2 linked regions of the Mus musculus genome follow. The protein of the gene in region 1 interacts with the protein of each later gene in a biochemical or structural test. Links are inferred from orthologs where the notes say so. Each region holds a gene or a part of one and is shown in the gene's direction. Other genes may lie near its edges.

Region 1 (3,167 bases):
TGTAAGCCTTCTATTAACACGTCTCTTGTGTTCTGTGCAACGGGTGCTTGCAAACCCTTTGGGACTAGTGGTGTTTTCCCTTCTTGGGGTCTCTGTTTGCTAAATGCTTTGTCATACACTTCTAGTCAAGGACCAGCACAACAAAATGCACCTTCCCTTTCCTGCCTTTAGCATGTAATTAGCCACACCTTTCGTAGTCCTAAGACTCCAGAGCTGATAAGTTGAGGTGACAGTCTGAGGCATCAGGGACAAATATTTCCACGCTATTTTAAATAGATTGAACACAACAGCGAGCCCCCCACCCCGCTGGAAGGTATTTGTCGTTGTTATTATTAATAATAATGATGACTAATAATAATAATAATAATAAATACTTTCCAGCTTTCTCCACCTCAAGCGGTACCCACTAACTTCCAACTTAAGACAGGGAGCCTGAGACGTGTGTGGGCAAGTAAAATCAGATTTGTCTCACACCACAATCTTAATGGCATTGTCCTTCTTCAAAAGAACATGATAGAATGGAAAAACAAACAAACAAACAAACAAAACAAGCTGAAATGTGGGTTCCAGCTGCTTGTCCTAGAATATGAGTCTTGTCTTCACTGAACTATGTATTTACCTCTATGTCATGCGAGGTCCAGTACATCTAACTACAGGCATACCTAGGTAAAAGAATTCAAGTGGCATGCAACAGAGGTTACTGTGCACTGCCCGATAGAGCTATTCTGTGCAGCTTTATCATGTGTGTGTTGCTTTAATTAATGAGGCCAAAGTAGCTCTCAGTGCTGTGATTTCTGGGTCTCACGTAACCCAAATCATTTTGAAGACGAAAAGAGAACGTGGGCAGTCGTAAATCTAATCTTACTTTGTCAAACTTCCTTTCTCTCCAGTTGAACAGGTGATTAAGCCCAAGAAAAACAAGACAGAAGGAGAAAAGTCTACAGAAAAACCCAAAAGGAAGAAAAAGGGAGGCAAAAATGGAAAAGGCAGAAGGAATAAGAAGAAAAAGAATCCATGCACTGCCAAGTTTCAGAACTTTTGCATTCATGGCGAATGCAGATACATCGAGAACCTGGAGGTGGTGACATGCAAGTAGGTTTGTTTCCTACACAACACCTGAAATCCCCATCAATAGAAACTATTCACTTTTCCAGTGTGTAAACCAAGGATTTCATGAGCCAACATTATGTTTGTACAGGCAATTAAAATATAAGCATGTAAATCTAGAAAAAAGATTCTTAGCTTAAAGGCTGTAACAAATAGCTTTATGGCTACTGGTGCACAGTATCATTTTATTATAAATATTATATGTATGCAATGTATATATATATGTGCCTGTACATATATTTTAAGCCTTAAAAAAAACTTAAAGTATTTATCACACAACTTTTCATGTTGTTCTAATGTCCCCAAACCCTCTCAACGCACTAAAACTAAACTAAATGATAGAGGAATGTATTAGCTGTGACACCAGGAGTCAAAGTCATCGCTTGGTCCTAAAAGAACAAGAAGCATGAGTCACAGTGTCTTCTGGGAATATCCCACCCACACCCAAACTAATCACAACTTGTTCTTAAAGGCCTTTAGCTAGAATGTATTCTATGTTTCACGACTTTGCAGAATAGACAATGGCGTGACCTCTCTATGTTCACTTAAGTGACCGTATCATTAGGTAGTATGTTTGAGATGCAGAAAACCTTATCAACACCTGTATTTATGAAATATGATGTTGCAGTTGTCATCAAGATTACTTTGGTGAACGGTGTGGAGAAAAATCCATGAAGACTCACAGCGAGGATGACAAGGACCTATCCAAGATTGCAGTAGTAGCTGTCACTATCTTTGTCTCTGCCATCATCCTCGCAGCTATTGGCATCGGCATCGTTATCACAGTGCAGTAAGTACATCACAGCCTAAGACCTGAACTCTTGTCAGTATTCCTATCAGACTCTACTGTCATATTTTACATGAGTTTTTTTGTGGCAAGTGACCCCTGAGCAGAATAGAATCAAACCTTGCATTCCTTTGACTACCACTGAAATGATATACAAAGCCACCTTTCAGAATTAGGATGTCTTTAGCTTAAAAATTGATATTTTGATTACCATTTTTGATGATGGTGATTTCTGACACTCAGAAATGCCCTAGTATCATCTGTGTATATTTTTAAATGTAAGCATAAAGCTTGTGAGGAGCTAACTAGGGTCACACTAAGCTCACAGCACCAAATATACTTCTTTGGCATAAAAGGAAAACAAACAAATCTCGAAGGTCTTCAAAATGAGCAACCAAGGAAAGACCTGTGACTTCGCACAGTACAAGGCACCATTCTTGCTTGTAATTCCATGCCATGGTGCTCACTGGCTGACAGTTGGGACCTATTTTTGTCCTTATCGGATACCATAGTGTGGGAACATATTGAGAAACAAAGCGAAACATTTCCTCCCAATGGCATGGCGTAGGCAGCAATGACAACCTCTGTTACTGTGGTCCTCCCACAGCATCTTCCCTGCGCAATGGCAGATCTCACGCCTCGCTTCAGGACCAAAGAATGCCCACACTCCACTGTTCTAGGTCACAGGCACAGATGGGTACATGAGGATGGCATTGTCTGTCAGATAGAAGCCACTGGATAGGGGAAGCTGGAGGAGGGCCCACATGGTTCTGGGATGACTCACTGCTTCTAGGGCTTGGGAAAAGCAGTGGATTCATTATTCTAATTTTAGGTCTCGGTAAATTACTTTAACGACTGGATTGTGTACACGATCCATCACGGCTGTTCTTCAGGATACAGGAATTATCTCTTGCTATTGTTTATTGTTATCTTAAATTCAAATCAGAAGGTGATAAAATGGCACATAAGAGCTGTTTTGTTATGCACAAGACATTAGGTGTGCAGCTTAAATTTATTTTGCACACCTGGAATTTCTTCTAGAGCCTCAAGCCAGGTATACAAATACATTTAGGAAAGGCAAAAAGCCTCTATAAATTGTTCTTATTTGACATAGAAGAAATTGTGAACTAAAGGTGTTTTACAGTGATATAACTTGTGGCTTATTCAGCTTTTCATTCAGCTGATTCCCCTGGGAGGGTGTGGAATGACTCTTGGTTTATGTTGCCATCCCGTTTTCTTTGTGGCAGTGCTAGGAACTGAACTTCACACAGGT
Region 2 (4,240 bases), on another chromosome or scaffold:
GCCACGAGTACTTCAAAGAGTGCCCCCCTGAGCCTCCTTGCCCCCAGTAGCCTCTGATCCAAAGGTGTACGCTATCCCAGAAGGGCAGGGTCTGCTCCAGTCCTCCATCTTTGTCCTTGAGGTGGTCCTGGGTGTGTAGCCACACCCTTCCCACTCTCTCTGTGGTACCCCTTTCAATCTAGACTTGCCAAGTTCTTGATGTGCTAACCCCACCCAGCTACCCATGAGCTTTCGAGGCTTTCCTAGGGATGTCTAGCTTGTGAGGGGTGGGACAGTAGCCAGCCTTTGCCGCTTCTCTTCTTGGAAGGGAAGAACATCTCTGCTCAGCCATGTGCACACAACTGGGACCGCTGTGGCAGGGGCCTCCTCAACTCCCAATAAAGAAATGTCTTCTTGGCTTACTTTTGTTTTTTTCTGATGGGACACACTGGGCCTTGGGACCGAGTCCTTGTTCCTTTATGCTCCTTACTACTGGAGGTAGGAGGCTTACCATGGAAGGCATGGACCCCCAAAGCGGTGTCAGGCCCTGTAGAAATGCACACATTTCAGGAGGGTAGGGGTAACACGTGTCCTATCAGATGAGACTGGAGGGTCTCTGTCTCTCTCTGTCCCCTGTCTTGAGATAGAAGTCCTTATCTTGGACTTTCAAGGAGGACAAGGGGCTCCTTGGGAGGTACTTCTGACCAGATGCTGCAAGGAGAGTATGGTTGTGGGAGCCCAAAGCCAAACCTCCATCTAACCTTCACTCAATCCCCGAATTTGTACCCTATCCTTAGAGATTAATCCTGACTCCCCCTTTTACCTATTTCCTCTTTAACTCTCTTCTTCAAGCTGAACATTCAACCCCGAATGCTCCTGTCATTCCTCAATATCCTTACTCCAGCTTCCATCCATTCGAAAACCTCCAGGCCACACTGCCACCCTAACTCCATCATGGCCTCCTAGGTATAGCTCCTACTTCATACCTGGGGTGGTCCCAAGGTCCCTCCTGACTTGCTAGCCTCTATCCTGGGTCTTCCTGATTGTGACAAGAAGCTGTTTAGGCTGGAGGGAAGTGCTGACATTGTCCCACTGGCTGGGGTCACCTCCTTCGTTCCTGGGCCACATATTTCCAGGGCAGCTCCTTATCCCTTGCCCATAACATCTCCATCTCCTTTCCTGTGGCCCACACCTCATGTCCAGGTTGCCCGTTCTCAAAGCTTCCTAAACTTCTGGCTGAGCTGTGGCTGCTTGGTGGTGTCCACCCCATCCAAGTCTCTGCCGTGCCCACTGGAGCTCACTCACTACTTGATTGTGCCTGCTGGGGAGGGAGCAGGAAGCCTGGTTCCCAGACTGGGCTGGTCGAGGGTGCTATGACATTTACTACATCAACCAACAGCAAGAGCACAGTATCCATGTTCCCCCATCCTCTGCATGGGCAGGGCCTGGCAGGGTATAAATAGGTCAGATTGTTGGGCTCTCCCCAAACCTCTCTATTCAGCACTTCCTCTCTCTTGGTCTGGTGAGTTGTGTTGGTCTGATAGCACTGCTAGCGGCATTAGAGGCTGAGGCTAGGGTAGAAGAAAGGGGGGCTGCTGGGGGAACAGATGTCTTTAATAAATCCAGATGAGAGATTCTGATGTGGAGGTTCATGTATGTGTGTGTGTGTGTGTGTTTTTCACGAGAATGAAAACCAAAAAAAAAAAAAAAAAAAAAAAAAGTGTATAAATGGCTACATCTGAGCTCCCGGAGGTTTTGAGATACTGAGGCTGGCTTGCATGTTGCTATAGTGTATATTGGTGGTGCTTGGGAGTCACTGTCATGCATAGGATGCTGACTCGTGTTGCTGGGTAATACAAGACAGTGTGTGGACACTCGGGTACAGGAAGCAAAGCGAAGGCATCAGTAGGCCTTTTTGTTTTACAGTATTTAAATTACAGTTTTTATTTGTGTGTATGAGCGTATGGGTTGGGCTGGAGCAAATGCCAAGGCGACATTGTGGGAGCCAAAGGACAATTTGTGTGGGAGTCAATCTGTTCCTTCTAGCATGTGGGCTGTGGGGATCAAACTCAGGCCCTGGAGCTTGGTGGCAAGCACCTCTACCCACTGAGCTATCTCTCCAGCACCCTCCTGCAGGCATTCGTGTTTGTAGTGTGTCTTATTTTTAATAGCCCTATGAACATATAGCACCTAGGCCAAGAAAGCCTGGCTTCCCCACCCTCTCCTCTTGCATCCCTACCTCTGCCACTTCATCTTACTCCTATTAGGCAGCTGGGGTTTTTCCACTTTTTTTTGTCTGCCTCTGGGCAGGCAGCCAGCAGCCGCGCCCAACGCTGGGAGGGAGAAGAATGGGCCAGGGCCTGGTGCTTGTGGTTGAGCTGTGGGAGTGAGTAAGCTGATGGAAAACTGCTGTTGTTGAGGCCAGGACTGAGAGGCACAGAAAGGTGCTGGCATGGATCTCCAGAGTTTGAGGGGTAGGCTTTGCAGGTTTCAGAGCCCAGAGCACATGTGACCTTCTTGCCATCAATGGGTCCCATTCCTCTGATCTCCCCAGGGGGTGAGGTCCATCTCTTAGAGAGTTGGCTGGGATAGAGCACTTAAAATGGGGACAGAATGAGTGTGATTTGGGTCATGCTCAGCAACACATATCCAGTTCTCAACACACTGTTGGCGTGGGTTGGAGAATGTTACTTTTGTGTCTCCTGCCCTTAGGTCTCAACGGTTACCATGGCAAGACCCTTGGAGGAGGCCCTGGATGTAATTGTGTCCACCTTCCACAAATACTCAGGCAAAGAGGGTGACAAGTTCAAGCTGAACAAGACAGAGCTCAAGGAGCTACTGACCAGGGAGCTGCCTAGCTTCCTGGGGGTAAGTGGGTCCTGCCTGTGTATTGCACACGTGATGCATCTGCAGGAGGAGGCTGGGGCTGGTAGGCACTAGTCTTGATGCAGTACTTAGCTATAGCTGGCATATATCCCTGCTCTGGGTGCTTGGTACGGAACCACAATGAACCACCTACTTCACACTAGCCCCCAGCTGAGACAGGCTTAGGATGAAGATAACTGAAGAGGCAGAGGAAAACCAAAACAACCACATTAGGCAGTCAGTGTCTGAAACCACAGCCTAGATCAGGGCTGTCTTTCCGGAGATGGGCACTAGAAATCGAGTTTTTATTTGTGAAGACATGATCGTGGAGGCACACAAATGCCTGCAGATTATCCTCTCAATAACACCTTATATTAGTTAACGGATCACTATTATGACAGTTTCCTATTAAGATAATTAAAACAAGCACGGGGAAGATGTGGTCACATCCTTTCCCAGCTATCCCATGTGTTCATCCCATAGTTTAGCCCCGAGGCTAGCAAGGAGTGCTTGCAAACCTTCCTGAGCTCCTGACTGGAGGCAAATATCTGGTTTGAGTTGGCTTCTAATTGCTCCTCTTCTACTGCCAGAAAAGGACAGATGAAGCTGCATTCCAGAAGGTGATGAGCAACTTGGACAGCAACAGGGACAATGAAGTTGACTTCCAGGAGTACTGTGTCTTCCTGTCCTGCATTGCCATGATGTGCAATGAATTCTTTGAGGGCTGCCCAGATAAGGAGCCCCGGAAGAAGTGAAGACTCCTCAGATGAAGTGTTGGGGTGTAGTTTGCCAGTGGGGGATCTTCCCTGTTGGCTGTGAGCATAGTGCCTTACTCTGGCTTCTTCGCACATGTGCACAGTGCTGAGCAAATTCAATAAAAGGTTTTGAAACTATTAGCTGTTGTCTGAGAGACTGGAGGCTATGGGCTGAGGGCTGTGGTAGAGACTGCTGGAAGTTGACCTGGAGCTTTGTGGGGGCCAAACTAAAAAAGGTTGGGGAGGGGTGGGTGGCTTATTTTGAGTACATTGCAAGTATGTATTTGTGTGTGCGTGCTTATGCATGCGTGCATGTGTGCGTGCGTGTGTGTTTGTGTGTGTTTACGTGCTCCTATATATGCAACAGAGCAAACTCCGGGAACACTAAAGGCAGAAACCACCAGAGGCTTAGCTTGAAAGGCTCCAGATGTGTGCTGTTAGCCAGCCCACAGTTCTCCCTCCTCTCTCCAGCACTGCCTCTGGGCTCAAACTGAAGTTGGGATGGGATTAAAGGTCACATCTGCTGCTGGTTGGGGTCTGGAGAGAAGACAACAGGCCTGCCTGAGTCATGAGGAAGGAGTCTTGAAGCCAGAGAAGAATGGAGAGGTGGACTGGCACTCAGCCCTGACATTTATAGGCCA

The links.
Region 2: the proteins of Areg (region 1) and S100a4 form a complex in vitro, tested with the Homo sapiens proteins (2 studies listed by IntAct, with this or other methods). The link is inferred for Mus musculus from reciprocal best matches to the Homo sapiens genes AREG and S100A4.

The regions. Positions count from the first base shown.
Region 1 is NC_000071.6:91,142,599-91,145,765, forward strand, and holds part of Areg (amphiregulin preproprotein), read left to right. Parts: intron 1-890; coding exon 891-1,092; intron 1,093-1,735; coding exon 1,736-1,897; intron 1,898-3,167.
Region 2 is NC_000069.6:90,602,306-90,606,545, forward strand, and holds S100a4 (protein S100-A4), read left to right. Parts: upstream 1-1,464; 5' UTR 1,465-1,501; intron 1,502-2,325; exon of another isoform or gene 2,326-2,453; intron 2,454-2,691; 5' UTR 2,692-2,706; coding exon 2,707-2,847; intron 2,848-3,434; coding exon 3,435-3,599; 3' UTR 3,600-3,740; downstream 3,741-4,240. Other genes in the region: S100a3 (protein S100-A3), read left to right, coding at 1-50. UniProt on the Homo sapiens protein: Calcium-binding protein that plays a role in various cellular processes including motility, angiogenesis, cell differentiation, apoptosis, and autophagy.